Linked DNA regions of Xenopus tropicalis. The protein of the gene in region 2 interacts with the protein of the main gene of each other region in a pairwise test. Links are inferred from orthologs where the notes say so. Each region holds a gene or a part of one and is shown on either strand. Other genes may lie near its edges. The genes, in order: aen and aamp.

Evidence for each region.
Region 1: the proteins of aamp (region 2) and aen interact in binary tests that used the Homo sapiens proteins (3 or more experiments, as listed by UniProt). The link is inferred for Xenopus tropicalis from reciprocal best matches to the Homo sapiens genes AAMP and AEN.

Annotation. Positions count from the first base shown.
Region 1 is NC_030679.2:110,015,384-110,022,541, reverse strand, and holds the end of aen (apoptosis-enhancing nuclease), read left to right. Parts: coding exon 1-223; intron 224-2,341; coding exon 2,342-2,542; intron 2,543-2,916; coding exon 2,917-3,123; 3' UTR 3,124-4,460; downstream 4,461-7,158. UniProt on the Homo sapiens protein: Exonuclease with activity against single- and double-stranded DNA and RNA. Mediates p53-induced apoptosis.
Region 2 is NC_030685.2:85,165,462-85,171,169, reverse strand, and holds part of aamp (angio-associated migratory cell protein), read right to left. Parts: intron 4,526-5,708; coding exon 4,370-4,525; intron 4,198-4,369; coding exon 4,078-4,197; intron 3,188-4,077; coding exon 3,048-3,187; intron 2,833-3,047; coding exon 2,688-2,832; intron 2,526-2,687; coding exon 2,442-2,525; intron 2,236-2,441; coding exon 2,120-2,235; intron 1,724-2,119; coding exon 1,620-1,723; intron 1,287-1,619; coding exon 1,196-1,286; intron 706-1,195; coding exon 551-705; intron 1-550. UniProt on the Homo sapiens protein: Plays a role in angiogenesis and cell migration. In smooth muscle cell migration, may act through the RhoA pathway.

The DNA.
Region 1 (7,158 bases), on a different chromosome or scaffold from region 2:
GCCTGGGAAGTGTGTTGCTATCGACTGTGAAATGGTTGGAACTGGACCTGGGGGAAAGATCAGTGAGCTGGCTCGGTGCAGCATAGTGAATTACAGAGGAGATGTTGTATATGACAAGTACATTAAACCTGAGCTACCAATCGCAGACTACAGGACGCGATGGAGTGGGATCACTAAACACAGCTTGAAAAATGCAATTTTCTTTAAAACTGCCCAGAAAGAGGTAACTTAGCACGTCGCTGTATCCTGGTTGTGATGTGTAGATGCCAAGTTTAATGGGCAATAGACCGTTTATTTGTAAAATTATTGTCCCTGTTAGTTGCAATTTATTTACAGTGAAAGAGTCATAATTTAAAAAAAAAAAAAAAAAAAATATATATATATACATATAATATATATCAATCCAAATGGTGTCCGCACTCCAAGGCTCAATATTCTGCGGGGTGCTTAGCCAAAATTATGTATGCATAGAAAATAATCATCTGTGGCCAGCACACCCTTCAATGTTTCATCAAAAAAATTTTTATTGTAGATATATTGTTAAAACCAACGTTTCAGTCCTTGTTAGGACCTTTCTCAAGGATAAAATCCTTTTATCCTTGAGAAAGGTCCTAACAAGGACCGAAACGTTGGTTTTAACAATATATCTACAATAAAAAAAATTTTGATGAAACATTGAAGGGTGTGCTGGCCACAGATGATTATTTTCTATATATATATATATATATATATATATATATCTCCACACACTCTCTATCTATATTGGGATTTATCACCATAAGGGGCATACACAGATTGCCATCTCCCTTCAGTATTTGCATTTAAACAAATAACTTATTGTTGGCATGTTCTTTGAGTCAGATGTGAGGCATTCACCATAGATTACAACCACAAGAAGCACTATTTATATGACCATTGGAAGTTTTACTGTTGACACTGTTGTATAGAGATTATGAATCTGTTAAGAAGCAATAGGGAGCCCCATTTTTATTTGTGAATGTAAATCTGTTGAGGGAATCCTAAGTGCTGGCATCGGCCTATTCTTGCAAGATGATATATCATTGCACTTTAAAGGAATGTAAAATACTATAAATAGTACACAAGTTTCTCTTAGGGATTATGTTTCACAGCTGAAGTGCAATATACCCTGTTAGAACCCACCTTCCATTTTACCCAAAATAGATACCACTACCCAGTAGGCAAGTGCCTGCATGTGTGTTCCCCAACAGTCCCCACGTATCTGTAGCAGCAGCAGCATCTGGCATAGACAATAGGTTTAACATAAATGGAAAACTGCTTTTAGCAATAATGATTGCAGTAAATAACTGTGGAGATCTAAACCACCCCTGCACTATGGGCCTTAGTACTATGTTGCACAGGTGGTCCATCATGTCCAAATAGGCACTTATTACCAGTATTTTTATGGTACCCTTGTTTTGTGGACAACAGCTGTCCAACTACAAGCTTGCAGGCCAAATGGGGACTCCTCCACAATATTATGGCCCTTATCCTGCATAAGCAGTCTTATGACCTCTGTATTTAACATTACACTTTTATTGTAGTTAATTTATTTAAAGGGGTGATTTATTTTTAGGATGTTATAGAATGGCCGAGAAATTAATGAAATTTAATTGACCATTCATGTCCATGAACAGGAAGTGCTCCAGCTGCCATTTAAGGAGCACTGGTGTCCTCCATAGGACTCAATGGTTCTCGGCAGCTTAAACCTGGCATACTTTTTGTCAGTCTAAAAGAAGTCGCATAAATTTTATAAATCTTGAAAGTTTGTTCATGTCTCAGATTTTTCTAGCAAATACCCCGAATTTTCTAATTTTTTTTCAAGAAAAAAATTAAACGTATACTGCCAAAAAACATACGTAAATCTCAAAAGAAAGATAAACAAAAAAATTTGAACTTTTCTCAGAAAACCTTAGTAAATGGGCCCCTTTATGCCCTAAATCAATGGGGAGAATATTTTAAAAATAAATATAAGCTATATACATTTTTTATAACTTCTTGATGTTGCATCTGTTTGTCCTTCATTTTCTTACTTCCATTGTATCTAAAATACATACATACATCATAGACTCCTTTTCCTGTAAGGCAGAAATTGTGTTAAGTCGGCCTTGTATCATAGACCATTCATGTGCCAGCTAATGGGTTATACTAATGCAATTTGGCTTCGATATTAATAATCCCAGCATTTTTTGTGGCATTATCAGCATTTCAGCGCCACATTTAGTGAGCTGCTTCCAAGCTCAAATTGTTTGAAAGGCAAAAAGGCTTTTCTACCTTATCATGTTATATGCAATTTGTGGTAATCTCTAACTTGCAATTGTAGATTCTGAAGATACTTAAGGACAAACGAGTGGTTGGACATGCACTGCACAACGACTTCAGGGCTCTGAAATACTTCCATCCTCACTCCCAGATTCGAGACACCAGTAAAATCTCTTTATTAAAAAAAAACGCAGGACTTCCAGAAAAAGCTGGCGTCTCTTTAAAAACTCTTGCATTGAACTTGTTGGGCAAAAGAATACAGGTAAAAACCACAACTGAGTATTTACACTGCTGGGTAGCTACAACTATGTTAAGGAGGCAGTTTCCTATTAAGTGCGGCTGCAAGTGGAAGGAGTTACAGGAAACTTTCAAGAAATATACCACTTTCTCCCAGTAACTGCAAATTTCAGGGGCACTATAAGACATTTATATGTTTTCTCTGCACAGCTGTAAAAAAATTCAGTGTAGTTATGCTTTCATTTAGACCCCTATTTAGTTGACCAGTCTGCCTTCTAGCATCTTGCTGGGTGGTTTTAAAGCAATAGTAGGCATTTATGCATGTCTTAAGCCAGCAACATCTTCATTTTAAGCTTGCATTGAATTGAACTGTTGGTATTTGTCTTGTCCCTGCCTCAGGTTGGCAGAAATGGCCATTCTTCTGTAGAAGATGCCCTGGCCTCCTTGGAGTTGTACAAATTGGTTGAGGATCAATGGGAGGAGGAGCTTTGCAGTCACTTCCAACTCGAGACTTCCACTAGTGCAGAAACAAGCGGGGTCTCTGATAATGACCATTACATGGACGATCGCTACTGGCCAGCAGACTTAAATGATGACTCTAAATGAAGCACCACTTCAAGATGAATAAACTGTTTTACCAATGTGCAATAAACCTATTTATTGTGGATCTGAGATACAGTACAGAGATGGGATCTATTTTCTGGAAACCCGATATCCCGATTCCAGCAATGCCATTTCTCATTAAAGTTGTACAGTTTAATGTTAAATAAGGCAGAATAATTTAGCAGTGCATTAAGGCATGCTCTGTTACAGAAGGGATCACTTATCTTGAAAACCTCTTACGGATAATAGGTCCCATTTCTGTACTGTCAAATAAAATTACGGTTTGCATTCAGCTGACCTGCATTCTAGTTATATTAACTTTCAAGCATTTTAAAACTTGAACCTGCTGGATCACTTTTTTCCTGCAAAACTTGCAATATATATAAACCTTTATATAGATGCACCTTTCCCTTTATGATGTACAGACTTTACATACCATTATAGTACATGATCTGAGCAATGTCTCTTGTTTTAAAGCTCAATCAAACCGATAAATACCTGTGGTAAGTTTACTAAAACCTAATGTTATAAGACCACATCGTTTGTCTTGTGAAATTAATTTGTAAAGTGTTTAATTCTAGATTGCAACTGTTTAGTGAGTTTTAAACTCGATGGATATATATTTTTGTAATAGGGTTAATTGTATTTTCATTGTGAAATATCCAGGCTCACATTGAAAAATATAAAAAGTCCTAACAGTCCTAATCAGTAGAATATTTTCGGTATCTTAAACAGCTACACAAACAAGGCATTATGGTGTATATTCTGGAATTCTCCCTTTGCATCCTTTCCCAAGACATACTGTAGCTTTTGTCATTTAACTCCTTAGCGATGTATATGAGCAGTTTGTAGTAAAAAGTTCATACTGTTTTTAGAAACATAAACCAGTGTTTTCTCCCCAATATAAATAAGATGCCCACTCCTTGCTTATGAAATGCAGCACACTTGTGAAACTGTAACTGAATACATCTCGGAAAGATGATGTTTCACAAACATGGCGGCATACCAAACTATAGTAATACGGTGTGTAGAAGAAATTATTACAAACCCGTAAAAATAATTGTTAACTCTGTGAGCATGTAGTAACAGGCATTGAGAGTAACTAGAATAATACAACATTGGCTAATTGGCTTAATTCATAGCTAAACCTAACTGGATAAATAATCTATACACAGTTAAAATATTACAGTATACCTAACCAGTAGCATTAAGTATGTACTCAGATCACCCACCGAAAAAGGAAAGGGCACAGTCTACTTATCCCCAAAACTTTAGTACATCCTACTTGGAGCTTTGTTTTGTCTCTGTCTCAAATTATTATAAATTAACTTTTTTCCCTACGTTGCAACTGGGTCACTCATTCTTTTATTTGGCAGTAGTGCTTTTCATGTGGTTCTTTCTAAGTATTGGCTTCTCTTATGCCACTCTTCTGTTCAGTCCAATATTTCCCAGATCTCGCAGTACGGTTGATGTATACCTACAGTGAAGTATGGTAATGGAAAAATAATACTGTGGGTGGGAATGCACCTAATCCACTATTTTGAGATTTGGGCAAACCCTAATTTGCATATGCAAATGAAAATTAGGGCACAGAAGAAAAAAAAATCCAACTTTTACATTCAAGTGATGAAAAGTGACATGAATTTAAGGATTTGGTCAAGCTAGGCAATTAGATTCGGGCAAATCTGAATTGTGTGAGAAAGGCCAAATCCCAAACTGAACCCTAGATTTGGTGCATCCCTAACTGAGGCTATATTTTATCAACAGTGAATGGATTTTTGTACAAACAGAGAAATACTGCAGGAGAACGGGTTTCAGTTCATAATTAGTGGGACAGTTATATTTGACAGTTACATTTAAAAAAAAAAAAAATGCTAAAATAGACAGTATGGGAGATGGCCTTTTCCTAATTCTGAGATTTCTAGATAATTGGTTTCTTTATAAGGGATCCCATACTGGTGCACAACTGTCATCTGACTTCCCCGAACAGCAGTGAGCAAACCTTCCTGGAAGAATAGACCAAAACACTCTGAGCTATGTGGAAAGCTAGCAAATACCACAAACTACGTCAAGCATAACTAAAACCTTTTTAAAAGCCTGGGCCCCCTCTGGAGGCCTCCCTACCAAACTGCAGCACTGCAGACCCCCAATAGTTTCATTTGCTGTACTTGGTAGCACAGCAGGTTTGGGAGACTCTATCTTGCTCTGCTTAAAGCAAAACTATACCCCCCCAAACAATATAGGTCTCTATAAAAATATATTGCTTAAATTAGCTCTGTTTAGATGAAGCAGGGATTCACATTTAACAATTTTTATAAAAATGTTCTTTTTTTAGTAGTATGTGCCATTGGGTAATTCTAAACAGAAAATTGCCATTTTAAGAATTAAAGGAGAAGTAAAGGTAAAAACTAAGTAAGCCTTATCAGAAAGGTCTATGTAAATACAGCCATAAACACTCACAGAAACGCTGCTCTGACCTTAGTGAAAAGAAACAAGACCTCCACCACATTTCTTTCCTTTCATTCTGTATACATACTGTACATGATCTGTGTCAGACTTCCTGCTCTCAGAAAAATCCTTCAGGGCACAATATGAGTCTGCTCGGTTTGCTGCTCTCTCCCACTCCCTTCTGGTCTTTTCCCCCTCCCCTTTCTGCTGTAATCTGAGCTACCAGCAGCATGGAAGCTATTGAGACCAAGCTAAAATGGCAGCTGCTATCTTAAACAAAGAGGGATTTTCAATGGCGTTCTAGCTTGCACTAATCTGTTGACAATAAAATGCCACAATACCTTTCCTTCTCCTTTAAGCACTGCCCCCCTGGAGCATGAAACAAACCAACTCCCACACTTCTTCCTTTTACAGTTAGAGCTGCATTATTTCTGGCCATAGGATTTTTCGGGGATAGCACACAGCCCATCACTAAATGGTGGATCAAAGGAAAGGATGTAAAAGGTCAATAATTATTACTACTATTAATTACTTATATACTGTGTATATATATATATATATATATATATATAGTTTAATAGGGGACTTAACATGATATAATCTGTTGGTTAAGTATTCATTCTGGGGATAAAATTTACCTTTTACTGATTAAAGGGATGTCACTTAATAAGCATGCATAGTTAAAGGCGGTCTATACCTGACTTCAACCACACGCACCCAAAGTTGTTGTAAAGGGAGCATCAAGCGGGACCAGATGGCGCCTGCCATAGGCGCATGTCTTTTAGACTGTGAACTCTAATGAGCAGGATACTTTTTACCTTAGCTTTCTGTCAGTATTTGTATGTATAGTTGATGTTTACACCCTTCTATTGTAAAGCTCTGTGCTTTTTAATAATAACACAGCGGAGTTCCAGGGAACTTTCTATCATGAAATAATATCCAATTATTCAAAAATACTTAGTACCCAGCTGGTGAATAAAAATACGATTAGTGCAAAATAGTGCGATTGTCTAATCACTAATATAGGAATATCTACCTCAATTAGTGGTTAATCAATCTGTGACTGCCAATTCAATAGCTATATAATCCCTGGGACCCCACAAGAGGGAGAAAACAGGATGCCAAGGACTGTGGTCTTTTATAGCAATTTTAACGAGAGTGCAGCTTTGGGGATGTTGGTAACTATTAACTCTCATTTTTAATTGGAGCACGGACACTTTCTAATTGTCATTAATGAATTTTTTAGATTGATTCGTTATCAAGTTTTATTTTTCACGTTGAATTTCAGTAGGTGGAACTTTCAAAGTCAATTAAGCACTAGCACTTTATTAATGAACTAAGCAGACAACCTTTAACTGAAATCAGCACAAATAATCAATCTTATTGAATTGATAGTCACAGATTGATTAACCACTAACTAAGGTAGATATTTCTATATTAGTGATTAGACAATTGCACTGTTGTATGAATTTTTATTCACCAGCTGGGCACTAAGTATTTTTGAATTAATTGAGCTATTGGGAAATTCACAGGGGTTCATCTTATTCTTTCTTAATTCTGATTGAATGAATCATTTGTAATCAGACCTCA
Region 2 (5,708 bases):
ATCTGATCCCCCCATTGTAAGCAGCAGTCCTGCCCTGCTTTATGGCTGAGATTCTAGCTATCTGTATAACAGAGCATTCTGTCACAGTGGCACAGATCCTATCTGATCCCCCCATTGTAAGCAGCAGTCCTGCCCTGCTTTATGGCTGAGATTCTAGCTATCTGTATAACAGAGCATTCTGTCACAGTGGCAGAGATCCTATCTGATCCCCCCCATTGTAAGCAGCAGTCCTGCCCTGCTTTATGGCTGAGATTCTAGCTATCTGTATAACAGAGCATTCTGTCACAGTGGCACAGATCCTATCTGATCCCCCCATTGTAAGCAGCAGTCCTGCCCTGCTTTATGGCTGAGATTCTAGCTATCTGTATAACAGAGCATTCTGTCACAGTGGCACAGATCCTATCTGATCCCCCCCCATTGTAAGCAGCAGTCCTGCCCTGCTTTATGGCTGAGATTCTAGCTATCTGTATAACAGAGCATTCTGTCACAGTGGCACAGATCCTATCTGATCCCCCCCATTGTAAGCAGCAGTTCTCACTTATCTACTCACTTGTTCAGAGCAAAGTCGAGAATTTCAGCAGTGTGCCCACAGTATTCGCTAATCATTTTGCCAGAACGGGAGTCCCATAATCTGACGGCTCCATCCAAGCTACAGGTGTACACCACAGGCGAGTTCTGCTCCCATAGGAGTTGTACAATTCCTGACTGTATAGACAAAAGAGATATGTAAAATACTGTACAGTCTAACACTATGGCACCTCCTACCCATATGTATAAATACAAATATACAGAGAAGGAATGTTCTGGGCACACAATAAGCTGTATCCCCATACTGTACTGTCTAAGGGAAACACTATGGCACCCCCTACCCATATGTATAAATACAAATATACAGAGAAGGAATGTTCTGGGCACACAATAAGCTGTACCCCCATACTGTACTGTCTAAGGGAAACACTATGGCACCCCCTACCCATATGTATAAATACAAATATACAGAGAAGGAATGTTCTGGGCACACAATAAGCTGTACCCCCATACTGTACTGTCTAAGGGAAACACTATGGCACCTCCTACCCATATGTATAAATACAAATATACACAGAAAGAATGGTCTGGGCAACAATGAGTGATATCCTACCCTATATAGCGACTATGGAGTAGAAAGTGACATTGTAATAGACCTGGTACTTACCTCATGCTGGCACCGGTGTCTCAGACTTTGAGAGGAGAGGTCATATACAGCCAAGGTGCCATCTAGATAACCAACAGCAGCCAGGGGAAGGCTATACACAAGGAAACAAGGAATAGGGAAAGACATGAATCATACAGTAAGGAAAAGCAAGCACAGAAATTATAGCCCCATCCCCACTATGGAAAGTGCTTCCATAGTGATTCACTGAGTCAAATGAATGAAACAAGTGCCCCCTCTAGTGGTGAAACCCCCTCTATGTGATAACAAAACTAGACTTGTGCAGTATCCTCATATTACTGGCATTTTGTATATTGTTGGCAGTAAAAATTAGCTTTCCCTCTGAACTTAAAGGGGAACTAAACATTCTGCATGGGTTATCAATTCAACTCTTAAAGTTCCTTTGCCCTGTAACCCCACCACCTACACATTGCAGAAGCCTAAAGACTCCACTGAGTTGGACTCCGCCTCCCCATCTTCTCGTCTTGAGGCCTTGGACACGTTGCTTTCCGTCTTGAAAACCCCAACAACCTGTAGAGAAAAATTTGATAGCGGCTGAGAAGCTGCCAACCCGGTCTAGAAGGGCTGAGTCTATGGCTAATATTTGCCCATGTATAGCTTTACACTGAGGCACTGGAATCCTGGTCAGGCATCCAAGAAGCAGAATAAGCAACTGCTCAGAATACAATACTATATTGCATTTTGAACAATGGGCAGATGGACAAACCTAAGCGGCTGTCCCTGCTAATACTACCCCTGAGCCCTCTTTTCTAATGGCTTTACCAATACCACATAAAAAAATTGGCAATTCAGCCCAAAACAATGGAGTTTTAGGCAAGACTGATAATGCAAGTAGAGCCCCCTCAAGCACAAGGGCCCCTAAGCGCTAGAGGGCATAGTGAGAAGCATTGGGGAGGTTCCACTCACCTTGCCAGTTGCTGTGTTCACCAACTTTGTGTCACAGTCCACCGAACCCGTAAGTACGAGGCTGCCATCGTTATTAGAGGCGACACACGTGAGAGGCCCGGCGTGTCCATCTGTGCCTGCAATATAGAAATATTCAGTTTTATACAATAAAATCCACCAGGAAATGGCACATTGCTACTTCTCTTAGTGCCCAACCCTGGATCTATGACATCATAACTCATTGACGACTGCTGATGTCATGATGCAACGCTAACCCAAGACTCCAAAGTTTAAAGGGGCAGCATCAACAGAATGTTAACGCAAGGGACACTATGCTATTTACCTTTGAGGACATGAAGAGCATTTCCTTGTTTCAGGTCCCATATCCGCACACTTCCGTCTTCATAGCCCACCACGGCTTTCCTTCCTACACAAATACCAACACTGTCATTTTCCAGGACTGCTACATAAATGTGGCCTTATGGGTAGAACTCAATGGAGATAAGCAAACAAAATCTCTTCCATTTGGAAAGGAACAACAGATACCTATCTATTGTTCCTCTGCAAATGAATTTATTATGGCTCTTACCATCGGGCAGGAACTGGCCACAGGTAGCCGGGCAGCTGGGGCCCTGGAAAGTCTTACACTCGCCACTGGGTATTTTCCACATCCAGGTGTTTCCATCAGCTGTGCCAGCCAGCAATACGTGGGCACAGGGGTGCCATTCCAGCCACTAGCAGGGAGAAAAGGGCAAGTTATTGCCATAGGCCCAATGAGGGGGCAATAATTTGAAGACTCACTGAAACAGCTGATGTGTAATTCAGGTTAAATGAATGATGAAATCAGCTTTGCTATTGGTGGGAAAGCCAAGTTACACCCCCAGCATATCCAATCCAAATCCCAATGCAGACGCAAGGCAAGATATAAGGACCCATTCCATTTCCTTACCTCTAGATCTCCCACCTCGAAAGACCAGATCTCCTCTGCCCCCTCCACCTTCCACACCTTGATCAGGCCACTCATGTCTCCAGTGGCCACCATAGTGGAGTCGTGGCTAAAAACAGCACAAGTAACAGAATCCTTGTGACCTGAGGAAAATAAAAAGGGAAACTTTGAATGGTGATTTTTACAACCATTTGTTTTTATTGCCTGAACTGCAGTTATATGTCCGCAGGCTGGAGCTATATACCAAAAGGTATCCTAAGATGCACATGTAAAGTAGGCCATGAAGGGGTTAAAGAGAACCACATGTAAAGTGCGTGGTGAAAATATTTCAACTTCCGTGTTCATGTGATGAAAAGTCACGTGATTTATGTATGAATATCACTGCACTGGTCAGGAAAGGGTAACTGAGACACTTACCAACACTGTGGGAAGTCCTATTTAACTCATGCCACTTGCCCTTTATAGATCAATCACTCCTATAGCTCTAAACAGGTGGTTCCCCTTTAAGTTAACTCTTAGTTTGTTATAGAATGTTAGCAATTTTTCAATTGGTCTTCATTTCTTATCTTTTATTGTTTCTGAATTATTTGCCTTTCTCTTCTGCCTCTTTCTGTGATACTACACTTTTTATTACTTATCTTTCTATGCAGGCCCCTCTCCTTTTCATTCCAGTTTCTCATGCAAACCACTGCCTGGTTGCTAGGGTAATTTGGAGCCTAACAACCACATAGATTCTAAAATTCCAAACTGAAGAGTTGCTGAATATAAAGCTAAATAATTTAAAAAAAACACAACATTAGAAAAACTAATTGCAAGTAGTTTCAGAATGTCACTTAATTAATTATTGTCAGTTAATTTAAAGGCAAACAACCCCTTTAAGATACCAAGTATGTTTCCACAGTCCAACCCTGGCTGCTGTGTCATGAAGAAACCCCTGCAGGCAAGCAGATGAGACTGCACAGTTGCCCCTTGGGGGGTGGGAGTTAAATAAAAAAGCAGACAAATGCATTGCAGTCAGCAGCATGACATTTACCTGTGCACTCAAACACAGTCTCTCCGTCACTCAGGCGCCATATGTACGCCTTGTCGTCCTCTCCCCCTGTCACTGCCAGAGCGCTCTCTTTGGGGTCCAGGCTGACGCAGAACACAGAGGCTGAAACAAATGGAACCAAGTGGATCAGCAATCAATGCTCCTGACTGTGTGATGTGATCCAAGTCATACTACAAGCACAGACTTGGCTTATCTTTATACACCATTGGCACCCCCTTGTGTTGGCTTATAATGCACTCTATTTGCCCCTTGAGAGGACACTGCCAGGTCTCACCTGTATGTTTGGAGAATGTCAGCTCACTGTCGTCATGGGGGTCCGTTCCTTCTTCCACTCCCTCATCCTCTGTCTCCCATTCCTCATTATCAGCCATTTCCCCATCTTCAGGATCATCTGCAAAGTCGACGTCCTCCATGTCGCTGGCCAAATCATCTGGGCAAGACAGACAGTCAGCAGGGCATTAACCTCTCCATAACAACATATACATTTCTACAAGAAGGGTCAGGCATGTACCCTGCATATAGAATTATAATCTTTCCTGTTTCAGAACAATAATGCCCCATGTACAATGCCAGGTCCATATAGAATGGGTTTGCGGACAAGTGGAGGACACAGACTGCACAGAGCTCTGACCTCAACCAATTGATTTGGAACCCAAACTGTGAGCCCGGCCTGATCCCCAACATTACTGCCCAACCTCACTAACGCTCTTATGGCTGAATGGGAGCAACTCCCAGCAACACTGTTCCACCATCTAGTGGGAACCTTCCCAGAAGGGCAGGGGCAGTTATAGCAGCAATGGGAGGGGCAACCCAACTGAACCCCTGTGGGATGAATTGGAACCCCAACTGTGAGCCTGATCCCCAACATCACTGCCCAACCTCACTAATGGGAGCAACTCCCAGCAACACTGTTCCAACATCTAGTGGGAACCTTTCCAGAAGGGCAGGGGCAGTTATAGCAGCAAGGGGAGGGGCAACCCAACTGAACCCCTGTGGAATGGAACCCCGACTGTGAGCCTGATCCCCAACATCAGTGCCCAACCTCACTAATGCTCTTGTGGCTGAATGGGAGCAACTCCCAGCAACACTGTTCCAACATCTAGTGGGAACCTTCCCAGAAGGGTAGGGGCAGTTATAGCAGCAAAGGGGCAACTTCATATTAATGCTCTTGGTTTAGGAATTTAATGTGGGACAAGCAGGTGTAGATACGTTTGCCCATGTAGTGTCACAGCTGGGTTGTCAGAACCAGACACACCAGGAGCTGGCTTGGGGGTTCTTATAACGCCCAGTCTATTTGTAAAAATAGTTTAATAGTTACCACTTTATTCCCCTCTCCCAATCTAAGAGCATGGTATGGTCCACACAGAAAGGAAACCAAAGACCCTTGTTGCTTGCATTAATAGTGTGCAATACATTGTGTGTCTTCATATTAAGGAGACAGCGAATCCAGGATTTGGTTCAGGTTTTGGCAAAGATTCTGCCTTTTTCAGCAGGATTCTGATTTGGCCGAATGCAGGTGTCTGGCCAAACCCAAATCCTTGCAGCTTAGGATTCGGTACGATATTTGGACAAATCTTTCAAAAAGGATTCAGCCAAACCCAAAAATAATGGAT